Arabidopsis thaliana: one gene and its partner. The main gene of each other region encodes a partner of the protein of the gene in region 2 in a complex. Each region holds a gene or a part of one and is shown on either strand. Other genes may lie near its edges.

Region 1 (7,791 bases), on a different chromosome or scaffold from region 2:
ACAACGCAGTGATGGTCTTTGACATCTACCATCCGCTAATGCGAGAATTCTTGCAAGAGTATGCCACAACTTTCGACGGAAACAAATGGGGATACAACAGCCCTTACCTAGTCTCTAGAGTTATCAAGAGATTAGGAAACAAACCTGGATACAACAATCTCACAATCTTTTCTCCCGATGCTTTCTATCCAGTAAACTGGATCAAAATCCAAAAGCTTTTCAAGAAACCTGCAACCACAAGAGAAGCAAAATGGGTAGAGAAGACAGTACAGGACATGAACAAAGGGAGTTACATGATACATCTGTGGAACAAAGTCACAAGGAAGATTAAGATTGAAGAAGGAAGTGTAATGCACACTCTCGTCTCCACTCACTGCACAGTCTGCGGAAACATCACAAACTCTCACATTTAAAGATCCAAACAGAGACAGATGATTCATCCATCTGATCTATCTAAGTATATAGATTCTCGTTCTTAGTTTGCTTTACTTTTTCAATGTAAAAGACTCAATGATTCATAAAGAAGCAAACTTTTCATAAAAAGATGAGAACTTTGGAGATGTTTTTAACAACAAAAGAGTCGTAGCATCAAAGCTTTTCAAAAAACAAATTAAAATTACAGTGAGAGACAACAAGTGAAGAATCTCATATTTCTAATTAGAGAAGAGAGACTCGTCGATATCGATTTTGATCTTCTCGTCGTTCTCAAACTTATCTTTCCTCGGTGGTGCTGGAGGAACCGGTACTCTCTCCGGTCCTCTTCCTTTGCTCTTGTTTCTTGGCCTCGCCTGCTTACATAAACCCCAAATTCAAAACCAAAATTGCGAATTTGCAAAGTAAAATTACGAAATCGGAAAGAGAAATTTGATTACTTACATTCCCAAAAGAGTGATTGAAACGCTTTCCTTTAGCTGTTTTCCGGTCACCTCTGCCACAGTACACTGCGAACACCGGAAAAGTTACGCCATTGACGAATTAAGAGAGAGTTAGATAAGAGAGGGAGATTACCGAGTGGAATTGAGCTGGATGAGGAAGTGGAGAGAGAGAATTGATGAGTGAAGCAAGAGAGAGAGACACCGGCAGTTTCAGAGTGAGAAGATGATAACCGTGAGGAAGGTAATGCGACGGTGACTCGCGGAGGAGCTCCGAGTATAAGCGACGCCATCGCCGTGTGCTGTTTTCGAATTTGTTCGAAGAAGAAGATCCAGAAGAAGATAAGGCAGTGAGAGTAGAAAAACGATTTTAGGATAGGCTTTTAATTATCTTTTCATATTTGGGCTTTAATTTCAATTGGGCTTATTTTAAAGCCCAAATATATCTAAACCCTACACATGCTTGTCACGTGTGTAATCGACCTTGTTCTTGTTCTTGTTCTTGTTCTTGTTCTTCTTCGTCTTCTCTTCGGAGCTTTTTTCTTCAGATATCACCCAGATCGTAACTTTTGATCTTCGAATTTCACAAAGCTCAAACTTTTGGTAAGTATTCTTATCATCTCATTGATCTTGGGTTTCTAAAAAGTTTCAATTTTTATAATCACATCTCTTTCTAAATCTCTCATTACTTGGTATTTAAAATCTGTGTGTGTTTTTTTCATTCTTATGCTTCACAGGATTCTTTACTAATCCTATTGTCACATAACATCGGTAAGCTCTCTTTTTTCTGAACTCTCAAATCTTCTATAGCTCGCTTTAGCCAAAGTCGTTTGCTTTAGTAGAGTGTTATAGATTCTGCTTCAGCTGTTTATTTGAGGCTTTGAGCAATCTGAGTTTGTTATGAAAACATTGAACTTTCAATTCTGAAACAATCACTCAACTTCGATTCACAGAAAATGATTTATATTCTCTAACTTTGCATTATGTGTTTCATCACTTCCTATAGGAACAAGATCATCAATGTATAAACAACTGATCAGAAGTTCATATTTCTCTTTGTAAGTATACAATTCGGGATCTTGATCACTTCTTGCAATGGAGAAAGAGATGGAAGATAAAGAAGAATTCGATGAGGGTGAGATTGAGTACACGAGTTATGCTGGTGAGCATCATCTGCCATTGATTATGTCTCTTGTTGACCAAGAACTTAGTGAACCTTACTCCATCTTTACTTACCGGTACTTCGTCTACCTCTGGCCGCAGCTATGCTTCCTGGTATTTTGACACTCAGCTTTCGATTATCGTTGCTTTACCCTCATGATACTTATGTTTTGATGGATTTATGAGTAGCATTTGTTTTGTTTCTTTTAATAGGCCTTTCACAAAGGTAAATGCGTAGGAACCATAGTCTGTAAGATGGGGGATCATCGACAGACTTTCAGAGGGTACATCGCTATGTTGGTTGTGATTAAACCATATCGTGGCCGAGGCATAGGTAATACTTGAGCTAGTGCTTCCTAACTTCTTACAGAATCAGATTTTGACTGTGGGAGTAGTGTTTGATCTACTGCAAATACATGCCTCTCTTAAGGTTCGATAATTTTGTGTGCTGACTTGTCATTGTTTTTTTACAGCCTCAGAGCTTGTCACAAGAGCGATAAAAGCGATGATGGAATCAGGCTGTGAAGAGGTATGCTGTTCTTGCATTCTCACTTCTCTCTTTATTCCCACTTTGGAGAACTTAGATATTTGGTAGCACTAGAGTGATATCCTTTCCTGGTAGTATAAATGTAGATAAGACCTTATGAACCACCTTTTCCGGAAGGTTATAAGTCCATTACATGTCCTGAAATAGTGCCTCCTTTTTATCTACTAGAATAGAATTTCATAGCTGAGGTGATGTAGCTGCCTTTAATCATTGCAAGTATACCTATTGCTTTTGATTGTTTAGCTAACTGTGTGTGTAAGTTTAGTTCCACGTATAAAAGTAGTTAATCATACTCCTAAGAGTTGGAACTTTTCGATATTCGTTTAGTTACTAATTTTGTAGTGGAAATCAAAATCCCAGTCTCTCACTTAGTATACATATGTTGTATAAGTCTTGTATGTAGTCCATGACTCTTTATAGTCACACGCATTGGAATGTAACTGATAGTAATATAAAATAAGAAATCCCTGTCTCCCACTTACTAATTGCGTATTCGACGAATCATTTTCTGTTGTATGTGTGATCTCTTAACTGTAATCTCAGTAGTAAATAGATTGGAAAAAGAACCTCGTGATTGGCATTTGCTCTTCAAGTTCCTCATAATCAAGCCTGATTACAACATGAGAGTATGGTTGTCTGGTTATGCAATCTAATTAATGTAAAGATGTATGGCTGAAGGTAACTCTGGAGGCAGAAGTGAGTAACAAAGGAGCATTAGCACTATATGGGCGACTCGGGTTTATAAGAGCCAAACGGCTATACCACTATTACTTGAATGGGATGGATGCTTTTCGCCTGAAGCTCTTGTTCCCTAAGCCTCGTGTACCTCAAATACCTTCTCAAGTTCAAACCCAACAAGAGTATGAGACCTTTCCTAGGCCTCGTGTACCTTAAGGCCATGAACGAAGATGTGTGTTTCTTCAATGTATTCTAAATCCTGAACATGCTAAGACTATGTTCTCTTTCGTATGAAGAAATATTATGTGTTGGTACAATTCTAGTCCCATGTTTATGAAGTATTCTCGACTGGAGTAAGCGATTAATCTGGACGTTTCAACGGTCTTGTGTGTCTACAGAAACAATTTAGCATATTCATATCACTTTGTGGTGTGCGTATATACGTTTTTAAGGTCTCTCAAACTTGGTTGATGATTGGAAACAAAGATCTAAATGTTGTTACAAATTCATATAACCACTTAACTTAACCTAATCGTCTCAGGCTACTCCTGACTTCGAGTTAAGTGGATGATATAGAAATCGAGATGTGAAGTGATTTTCAGCCATCAAAATTTTCAAACAGCTCTATATACCTCAAAAGAAATCCAAGATGACAAAAAATTGATTTAAGGCCAAAGGAGAGAAAGATGCCAGTCAAATGTTATGAAAAGACATGCTTGAATAATTGGTATGAGATATTTTATGAAATACTTTTATTGCATACCGTATTTTACTATAAAACAATTTTCTTTTCACAAACACAACCATCTTAGATTTATCCATGTTAGCCGAGATTTTTTTTGTATCCAGATAGTCCACTTTACAAAAAAAAAAAAGTCTAATATAAAGAAGAAGAAAAGCCTCAAATGTAGTTGCAAAACTCACATGGCCTAAATCAGAACAAATTAAAGACGATTCACCACTCGCCACATAATAGTTTATTGACAATTTGAACCCACTCGTTACCAAGGGTCACTAACCAAACGTTACCAAGGGTCCTACTCCATATCGCATAATATGACTCACATTCACTTCTTCTTTTCTCTTTAACGATTTTATGCTATTAGAAGAAACATTTTTGCAAAGTTCTTTTTTATTTTGACCCCCAACAAAAAAAAAGTCAGATGGAAAGTACAAGAATCGGACTCTGGATTCAAACGAGAATATTAGTTAATAATTTTACATATATAGTTATAATCTTTGGGGGCAAAGTACATGTGAAAGCAGAGCATATGATAAGGGGTAAACGATTGAGTACGAATGGAACGAACACATGCCATATTTAATATGAGGGACAGGAACGGTCCTCTGATCCATTCTTTTGATCAGAGAGAAGATGAAGAGTGTCAAGTAAATAATGGCACGTGACTCGGACGAAGTATCCACGTGCGTCCTCTCCCCACACCCATGTGGCCCATAGGATATATGACCGGCTCCGTCGGTCCAACTTGTCCATGTTCCCCTATTTAATTTTTAAACACACCCTGCCGTTAAATCAAATTTTCCAAATAAATTAAAGTGTTATTTCAAAATTTTAATGTAAACTTAGTAGTATTGTCGCTGTGCTATGATCAAAACTGTATAATTAAAAGATCTAATAGGATCCTAAAGAATTATCTAGTATCGGAAGATATTGTTCATGGTAAAATAGTTTATATAAGTCTAATTAGGATAAATGTATAAGATAAGAATTGTTTTTTGTTACTAAAGACAAGTAAAAGGAGAGAAGACGATACATTTTCTTAGCCTATTGTTTTAACAATACCAAATTAAGAAATCACACACTACATATTATCGACTATTCAATTTTAAAAAAAAAACTAAGGAGTGAAAACAAAAATACAAAACCCCAAAAGAGAAAAAAATAATTAAGAGCTTAGCACGCATTTAAAGGGGTGTGTAAAAAGTACACTATTTTCGTGACTTTTACTCCCTTCACGTATACGAACACAAAACACAAAAGAAGAACAAATAATTTTAAGAACCCTCCACAAACGCATTAGAAGAACCCTGACTCGATCTCTCAAAGACGGTGGTGTAAAGCGGAGACCGGGGCATGTGCGGCGGCTGCAGCTGGTTTACATTGGTAACACTTGGCAAAGAGACCAAAAGTGTCGACTTGACGAACAAAGTTGGTTACACTAGCCCATCCACCGAACCCAAATCCGACTATAAGAACCCAAACCACCACGAAAGCATTCAACACGTACATCGCCGTCCAGCTCGGCATAAAGAACGGTGGCTTCTCCGCCGCATTCTACAAGAAAGATCCAAAACACAAAAATAATCAGAGAACCATTAAAGAAATAGAGAGTGTGTAAGTGTTTTAGAGTTTTGGTCGTATAGTAATGGACAAAATCCAAAGCTTTGTTGACCCATGAGATAGAGAGAGAGAGAGAGAGATATGATTGTGATTTGTCATACTCAGACTCTCACTTTAGATTAATGTTAGGCATAGAGTCCCTATTGTACAGCTCCTTTTCATTTCTGATTATGACTCTTACCTATTCCTCTCCCCTATTTTCCTCTACTTTTATCTTACGTAAATTTAATATACACTGTTTTGAAAGAGAGAAAGAAAAAGAAGTCATGGTCAATTACTAATACTAACCTAACCGGATATTGTATTTTTTCTTCTAAATGTAACCAAATAAAGAAATGGCTGAAACCAACTCAATAATATATTATTTGGAGGGGACGCCAGTAAGGAATGTGGGTGATGATCCTATCTTCCGTAAGATACGGAACACTGAACCCCATCTATCTTCCACAAAAGACGTTTTTGCCCTCCAATTTCACAACCCTACCCCCCAACTATAATATTCCTCCACCGACTCTTCATTTCATTTCTAAAAAATTATTGGTAACTCAATGTATTTTAGGTTAAGTTCGAGTTTTGAAACGCTAAAAGAGAGTGAGCTAGTAAAGATGTTATACCTGACGAGCGGAGGCAGATCGGTAAGTGAGCATGTGAGCGAGAGATGGGATGATATAGACGGTGAAGCTAACAAGAAGAGCACCGACAGCGGAATTGATTGGACCGAAAAAGGGGAAGATAATAGCTAAGAACCAAATAGGTATGACCACAGGCAATCTAGCCAAAGCCCTTAAGCAAATGCTCTTTGTGTCATGCATCCCAATCACTTTCTCCCACACAAAGTACAAAGGTGTACAAGCGAACCCGAACGTTATAAACTGCACGAACAAGAACACGTTGCATTAATCTCTCATGATCAAAATTTACTTAAAAAAGAAAGAACAAAAATGTTGTATGTGTATACCTGATGAATGAGCATGAGGATAACAGCGGCGTCACGCCACGCGTTCTTGGGCATAAGAGAGAAAGCGTTGGAGTGGTCGAGAAGTGCGTCTCCGAAAGCCCAGTAAACGGCGGCAGCTGACGGAATCGTTAGCGTGAACACGTATAACGTCGCCATCAAGTAAATGTACTTAAACTTCTGTGGTTTCCACATAGCATGCATAATCTCACTGCAAATTAGAAATTACTGTTAATATTCATAATTTCATCCAAAACTTTAACTATGTAAAAGATTGGATTCACAACAATCATTGACGCATAAAAAGGGTGTATTTGACATTTCGCAAAAGCGTACTATTCCTACTAGTAGTAGTAGTGCTTTGGTAGCAATAGTGTTTGTTATTCTTTATAGGGATAGGAATAATAATGGTTATTCTATTTTATATTTAAAAAGAGCTTATTTTATTAGTACTACTATTTTAAGGATTGCTAAAAATAATAATGACAATCATGATGACTGTAATAATAGTTACACCTTATTTGCCGGCAAAAGCTGCAATAGAAGCGGCGAAGAAACGATACAGCAGCACCCATAATTTAATAATATGGCACCATTTTAATTTACCATATACTTTTTCTGCCATTTAGCTTTAACTTAAATAGTAATTCAACTATGTCTGACAAAATTTATTGATCTTTTATTAGATACAAAATTAATAATCATTAAGAAATCAAAAGAAGAGTAACTTACACAGTAACCGCGTGACCTCCAAAGGTGTACAAAATATTTGTGGCTCCCGTAAAATAAAGCACTAGCTTTGTTGGACCTGAATGTTTCACACCTTCCGCCTAAAATAAACAACAAAAAAAAAATTTGATTAGGAGAATATTAAACAGCTAATTTTGTCTAAGTTATATTATACATACACTTTTTAATACAAATTTGGGTTAAGATGCAAAGAATAATCCCTGATCTTAAAGAGAAAATACGAATTTTTTTTATTCTTCTTTTTAATTAAGGCATATACTGTCACCTCAATGCAAAGCATATAAATATGAAAACGACAGTGTAGTGATCTTTATAATGTGATGAAATATATTTTTGGTGAAATATATTAAAACATTACCTGGCCGTGGATGATGGAGGCAATGGCTAAGTACCAAGCGGTGTAAGTGGTCATTCCAAGGCCAAGGAATGACCAAATTCGGTAATTGTGAAACGACGGTATAAAGAC
Region 2 (7,392 bases):
ACTAGTAAAGGGGAAAAGAATAACTAAAAAAAGAATTAGTTATTCATCAAAGTTTGATTTATTCAATGACTAGAATTAAACGCGGATATATAGCTCGGAGGCGTAGAACAAAACTTCGTTTATTTGCATCAAGCTTTCGAGGGGCTCATTCACGGCTTACACGAACTATGACTCAACAGAGAATAAGAGCTTTAGTTTCGGCTCATCGGGATAGGGGTAAAAGAAAAAGAGATTTTCGCCGTTTATGGATCACTCGAATAAATGCCGTAATTCACGAAATGGGGGTATTCTATAGTTATAATGAATTCATACACAATCTATACAAGAAGCAATTACTTCTTAATCGGAAAATACTTGCACAAATAGCTCTATTAAATAGGAGTTGTCTTTATACAATTTCGAATGACATAAAAAAATAAGGGGATTGGAAGAAATCCACGAAAATATTTGAAATAGAGTTCTAAGGAGAATGAGCTCGGGGAAGGTAGAGTAGAAATTAGTATTAAAAAAAAAGTCGTCAAAACAAAACGAGAGTATATAGTTTCGAAAAAACGAGTTATGCTTTTCGACGATTCTTTTCTTTTTTTTTTTATAATAGACACAGACGTAACAATCAAATTTTTATTCTTGATTGGATTTTTTGAACAAAACATTAATCTCTTTTTTAATTCCTTCAGATTGGAATTGTTATTCAATTGAAAAATAAGTCTATTTTTTTCTGGTTCTAAGACTAGTAGTTCTAGGAGTCGACTCACTTCTTTCAAATTGTTTCTGATTATTAAGAAAAGGTAACAAAGATAAAATACGAGCTTGTTTTATAGCAATAGTGATTAATCGTTGTTGTTTTAAAGTCACTCTATTCACCCGTCTAGATAATATTTTTCCTTGTTCACTAATAAATCGACTAATTAAACTCATGTTTCTATAATCAATTCGATCCCCCGATTGGATCGGGGGCAAACGCCTACGAAAAGATCGCTTGGATTTAGTAAAAAGTCGCTTAGATTTATTCATAATTTTTATTTTTATTCCTTATCTCTAAAATCCTATTTTGATCGGATCAAAATAAAAACGATTTCTATTTCTATATAGGATAGAATTTCTATATAGAATTAAGAATATCGGATTAGATTTCTTTCTATTGATTTATTTGTTTATATTTATATATATGTAATAATATATAGATACTAGCATTATTCCTGTTCTTAAAATAAAAGTTGACATACAAGCACTCAATTTGATCTATTTCTTGATTTCCCCGTGAATTGTATGTTTATAACAATAGGGACAGAATTTTCTCAATTCCAATCGACTAGGGGTGTTATGCCGATTCTTTTGAGTAATATATCTGGAAATTCCCGCGGCTTCTTTCTTAATATCATTTCGAACACAACTGGTACATTCCAAAATAATTGTTACTCGAACATCTTTACCCTTGGCCATGAAACCTCCTTTGGATTTATGATTCACCTCAATCTTCTATTTTAATTTTAGGATCCAGAAAGAACAAGAACAAAAAAAATAGAAGCTGTTAACTAAAAAAAATTCTGAAATATTTCGTTACAATTAATATTTTATTTATTAGTAATTAAATAAAAAAAATAAGTAATACAATGATTTATGATTTTGTGAAAACTATATTTAAAATCTTTGTACAGTAGTTTTTTTAAGTATCTGATAGGTTCCCTAGCAACACTTTTTTTCGTTCTATTACTAATTTCATTGGATCCTGAACCCTCGTTTTTATGACCTTTCCCCCCCCCCCCCACCTTTTCTAATTTATTCTACTAATTAGAAAAGGTGGGGGGGTTAGTCCCCGATTGTTGATTGTATCTCTAAATTTTTCACCCCTTTCTGATGTTAATAACTAGAATGAAAAAAAGGGAAATGTTAATGCATCTGGAAATAAACGATTAATCTCTATTAATAAACCTGCTAACGAACCGAACCATAGAGTACTTAGTACCGGTGCTACGGAAAGATATGTTTTTAGATCTCGCATTAGAAATCCTCCTTCTTTCTTCTTTATTGTATTACATTATATATAGTAATATATATAATTACAGATGTACATGTAATTAAGAAGTTCTTGTATTTGTATATGTAACTTCCGTCCCCCCGCTTTCAAAATTAGAATTTTAATATTGTCGACTAGAACGATCTTATCGATTCCATTTGAAAACGTAAAGGCCTATTTATGTAAAATTGAGAGAATAAAAAAAAAAAAAAAAGTAAATTTTTTAATTATATCTTTGTTATCTGATATGAGAAAAAAAGAAGAAATGAATTTGATATACCAATAAAAAAGAAGGAGGATGTGGAAAACAAGACAGGAATTCTCTACAATGACACTGTAAACCTATTGAAAGGGATGTAGCGCAGCTTGGTAGCGCGTTTGTTTTGGGTACAAAATGTCACGGGTTCAAATCCTGTCATCCCTACCTATTACTGCTCAGAAGAGCAGTAACGAGGTATCTATTTTGATCAATTTTTTTTATCGGACATACATTTAATTCTGAAATTTATGATATACTATGTATGATATAGTATATACGTACAAAATCGAGTCGGGTTAAAGAATGCCCTCTTTCTAGCCTTTTCGTTTTTTAGAAAAAAAAAAAAAGAAAAACGCTCTTAGTTCAGTTCGGTAGAACGTGGGTCTCCAAAACCCAATGTCGTAGGTTCAAATCCTACAGAGCGTGATTTCATAGATTGTATCAAAATTCCACTGTTCACAAATTACTGAGCAGCAGTCTGAATTAGACCTCCCGCATAGGAAAGCAAGAAGGAGGTTAGTAAAAAAACGAGATGTTAATTAATTAAAAGTCCAACTGATCACCACGTCTGTATTGTAAATAAGCAGTTACGAATAATCCAGCCAAAGTAATAGGAATTAGACCTAAGACGATTCCAAATAAAAAAACTTCAATCATTTGAATTTTCTTTTGTTTTCATTTTTGAAAGGGAGAAAAGAGAGGTACTATCTATTCCTAGCTCTTAATCTGTATTGCCAATGAATCTCAATGACCAAAATTTGGTAATTAACACGGTAAGGAACTATCGAACATATTAATAAATACCAACGAAATCCTTTTTTATAAAAAAATCTGCATTCAATTAATTTCAAATAAGTCGTATTTTGCTTAGACCAATAAACAGAACTGAGGTTATAGTTAAAGCTGCTAGTAGAAAACCGAAATAACTAGTTATAGTAGGCATGAAGGGACTCAATAAAATATGTTTTTTTATACATATGTTTCTTAAAGTACTTCCCTAAGTTTCAATTGAAATTTTTTTTAAGAAATAGAGAAAGATAACTAGTTCCAAGAATTAAAAAAATTCAATTGAAAATTTGTGAATTATCAATCATTATAGGTGGTATGAAAAAAAATAGAGAAAGATAAAAAGAACTCAATTCATCGTCTTTGGCATCTGCACTATCTCAGGAGTCAGAATTAACGTAACTTATTAATTGAAAAACTCTTTAAGAAATTAATCATAAAAAAAAATAATACATAAAAAAAATAACTCTATTATCTAACTTCAGTCAAAACATATAACTTTTTTTGAATGAATATGTAAAAATTTGAAAATAAGTTGTTTGATTCTTTTTTTTTATTGACCTTAGAACCTAGAATACGCCTCTTTCTACTTTATTAAAATTGAATTTACTAAAATTTAAACTCATTAGATTAAATTAAATAGTAGAGCAGTTTTCTTCATTTAATCTATCGAATGAGACTAAAAAGAAAAGAGGTATCCTACACGGAGAACGAGATTAGTAAAAAAAAAGATTTATTTATTTTAACTAGATTTTAAACGATAACTAGATTTTTAAAACTTGTAATTAGCAATTTCTATTATCGTTTCCTTTCGAGGTTTTAGGTTTTTTTCTTTCGAGATTATATAGAAAATAGAGTGAAAAACCCATCACCCTTGTAGTTAGTTAAAGAAAGAAAAAAACCTTTGAATTGTGAATTGAATACAACAAAACAATGCACGCATTACAAATATTTAGTCTTTTTTTATTATTTTTATTTGTTGTTCTTTTTAATTGATCCAATCCAATCCAAAACTATTGTTCTTTTTCTTGTTTCTGCAAATTAATTCCTTAAAATGAAACAAAAAGTAAAAGGGGGGATCACATTATCATAAAAAAATCTATTCTACAATTATGCATATGCAATGAAAATGAAATTTATAAATTTTTCATTCAATTAACTTGGGACCATATGAAAATTTGCTTCATGAATTATTAGAATTAGAAACCAACTTCTTGGATTTTCATTTTATCTAATCTTTAGTTTATTTTCTAGTCCAAAACGAATAAAGGATCAAAGCCCCTATAGATTACAGTAATTTGAAAAAGTGGGACACGGTTATACATCGACAAGCAAGAAAAAAAGAAATTATGTAACACCCCATTTCTATACTAATTCAAATTGCGTTGCTGTGTCAGAAGAAGGATAGCTATACTGATTCGGTAGACTCTAAAAATACCCTTGGTACTTTATTGACGATCTCACAAAGATGCAATCTCAGTGAATTTTAATTTACTTATTCATCTTTTACAGAATCGATTCCCTACGAGAATATCTGGAGTTCAGTATGTCTGGAAGCACAGGAGAACGTTCTTTTGCTGATATTATTACCAGTATTCGATACTGGGTCATTCATAGCATTACTATACCTTCCCTATTCATTGCGGGCTGGTTATTCGTCAGCACCGGTTTAGCTTACGATGTGTTCGGGAGCCCTCGTCCAAACGAGTATTTTACAGAGAGCCGACAAGGCATTCCATTAATAACAGGCCGTTTTGATCCTTTGGAACAACTCGATGAATTTAGTAGATCTTTTTAGGAGGACCCAATGACTATAGATAGGACCTATCCAATTTTTACAGTGCGCTGGTTGGCTGTTCATGGACTAGCTGTACCTACCGTTTCTTTTTTGGGGTCAATATCAGCAATGCAGTTCATCCAACGATAAACCTAATTCAATTATAGAGCTATGACACAATCAAATCCGAACGAACAAAGTGTTGAATTAAATCGTACCAGTCTCTATTGGGGGTTATTACTCATTTTTGTACTTGCTGTTTTATTTTCGAATTATTTCTTCAATTAAGAAAAGAGCGTAGAATAATAAAATAAAAAATAAAGAGTAGTAATTTTATTATCCCATTCGGATGGATTATATATAATAATTATCTCTGACTGTTTATGTTTCTAGCATGACCACTCGATTAAATGTGGAGGGAAGCGGGATAAATGGCTGATACTACTGGAAGGATTCCTCTTTGGGTAATAGGTACTGTAGCTGGTATTCTTGTGATCGGTTTAATAGGTATTTTCTTTTATGGTTCATATTCAGGATTAGGTTCATCCCTGTAGAAATTGGATGAGCTGAGTTATAGACGTGAAAACATAAGAACTCAACGGGGCCCAACTCTTCCTTCTTTGTCTGATTCGAGGGGGTCCCGTTGAACTGCTAATAATCAGAACAATTTTTTATCGTGTTTTTGAAAAATGAACTTAACTAAATTAGTATATTATGAACATATAGTATTTTTTAATCTTTCAAAGATAGAATAAAAAAGGGGAATCACTTCATTCCCTTTTCCTGCTTCCCCGGCTGACACAATAGTTTTTATCATTAGATCTATCATTAAAATTTAAAATTTGGTCTATACTATAATAGAATCGAAATAGAAGTTTTTTCTGATTTTATTTATTTAGTATTTCATCAAAATTGAAAAAAAAAAAAAGAAAACTACAAAAAGTAACTACTATAATATATATATATATATGTAAACTAAGAATAGGAGTTTTTAACGAATTGAATCAAGAAGGACAAGATCGACACAAGAAAAGGATGTCTAAAATTCCTTTTCTTGTGTCGAAGACTAGCAAGACAAAAAATACTCCCTATAGTCCCTAAAACTTGTTGTTTCGCCGATTTATGGTTCCCCTTTTTTTCGGCGCGTGTGTTCCTTATCTTATTTTAGTATCTAGTCAAATTTTGCCATTTGACTAGAAAAAAACTCTTGATTATTGATACATTCTATCAATTTCAATTGGTCAATAACGACAGAGTTACATCACACCCCTTCTCATTTTTCAAATTTTTATTGAAAAATAAATAAAGGGGGGTAAAGTGAATTCTTCTCAATATACATACTAGTATTAGGACTATGATATAAGTAATTCCTGACATCTAGTCGAAAAGGAATAGCAAATCTAAAGAGAGGCAAAAGGTTTTCATAATTTTTTGTTCTTTTTTACGAATTTGATAAAGCTAAATAGACAGATCTAAAAATTCATTTCGGATAATTGAACCTTCTCAAACTGTTTCTTTTTAAGAACCAAAAAGATTTGTGCCAAAACAACCGATCCTAAGAAGAACAAAAGACCTTGGACACGTAATGGATCTTGAAGTACTATTTCCGCATCCCCCTGACCAAATCCACCCACATTAGGATTACTCGTTAATGGTTGATCGAGTTTAATGGATTCGCCCTCTGAAACAAGAAGTTCTAGGCCTCGAGGGATAATATCAATAACTTCGCGTCCATTCGATGCATCCACTATGGTTATTTCGTATCCCCCCTTTTCTTTTCGTAAAATTTTACTTATTATCCCTCCTGCCGTAGCATTATAAACTGTATTGTTACTTTTGCTACCATCAGGATAAATCTGACCCCTTCCCCTGTTTCCACCTACATATATAGGATATTTTAAGAAGTGAACATCTTTATTAGTAGCAGGGTCTGGAGCAAGAATAGGAAAGGTTATTTCACTATATTTTTGACCAGGAACAGGACCTATCACAAGAATATTTTTTTTATTGGGACGATAATTCTGAAAAGAAAGATTTCCTATCTTTTCTTTCATCTCGGGTGAAATACGATCGGGGGGGGCTAATTCAAAACCCTCCGGTAAAATAAGAACAGCTCCCACATTCAAAGCCCCTTTTTTACCATTAGCTAGAACTTGTTTTAGTTGCATATCATAAGGAATTTTAACAACTGCTTCAAATACAGTATCAGGAAGTACCGTTTGTGGAACCTCAATATCCACGGGCTTATTAGCTAAATGGCAATTGGCACATACAATACGCCCAGTCGCCTCTCGTGGATTTTCATAATTCTGCTGGGCAAAAATCGGATATGCACTTGAAATGGATGCCCAAGTTATTATATATATTATGAGTGAGACAGATATGGAGCGAGTAATCTCTTCCCTTATCCAAGAAAAGGTATTTCTAGTTTGCATGGTCCAATCATTTATCCCGAAAATTTCTACAATAAAGTTAGCTAGGTCGATAATATACTTCCCTAGCCACAATTCTGCTATTTACATTTACTGAAAAAAATCAAATTTTTTTTGTTGA

Evidence for each region. Proteins that work in one complex are often made in the same cells at the same time.
Region 1: rps18 (region 2) and PSRP4 share a complex: the UniProt entries of both Arabidopsis thaliana proteins name them as parts of the 30S ribosomal subunit.

The regions. Positions count from the first base shown.
Region 1 is NC_003071.7:15,974,322-15,982,112, reverse strand, and holds PSRP4 (plastid-specific ribosomal protein 4), read right to left. Parts: upstream 1,266-7,791; 5' UTR 1,166-1,265; coding exon 1,009-1,165; intron 942-1,008; coding exon 877-941; intron 789-876; coding exon 654-788; 3' UTR 501-653; downstream 1-500. Other genes in the region: AT2G38150 (alpha 1,4-glycosyltransferase family protein), read left to right, coding at 1-413; ATMAK3 (Acyl-CoA N-acyltransferases (NAT) superfamily protein), read left to right, coding at 1,968-2,147, 2,247-2,367, 2,507-2,562, 3,259-3,474; AUX1 (Transmembrane amino acid transporter family protein), read right to left, coding at 5,321-5,554, 6,235-6,492, 6,579-6,786, 7,308-7,405, 7,684-7,791.
Region 2 is NC_000932.1:61,539-68,930, reverse strand, and holds rps18 (ribosomal protein S18), read right to left. Parts: upstream 1,015-7,392; coding exon 709-1,014; downstream 1-708. Other genes in the region: rpl20 (ribosomal protein L20), read left to right, coding at 66-419; rpl33 (ribosomal protein L33), read right to left, coding at 1,243-1,443; psaJ (photosystem I subunit IX), read right to left, coding at 1,868-2,002; petG (cytochrome b6/f complex subunit V), read right to left, coding at 2,820-2,933; petL (cytochrome b6/f complex subunit VI), read right to left, coding at 3,124-3,219; psbE (photosystem II protein V), read left to right, coding at 4,609-4,860; psbF (photosystem II protein VI), read left to right, coding at 4,870-4,989; psbL (photosystem II protein L), read left to right, coding at 5,011-5,127; psbJ (photosystem II protein J), read left to right, coding at 5,271-5,393; petA (cytochrome f), read right to left, coding at 6,312-7,274.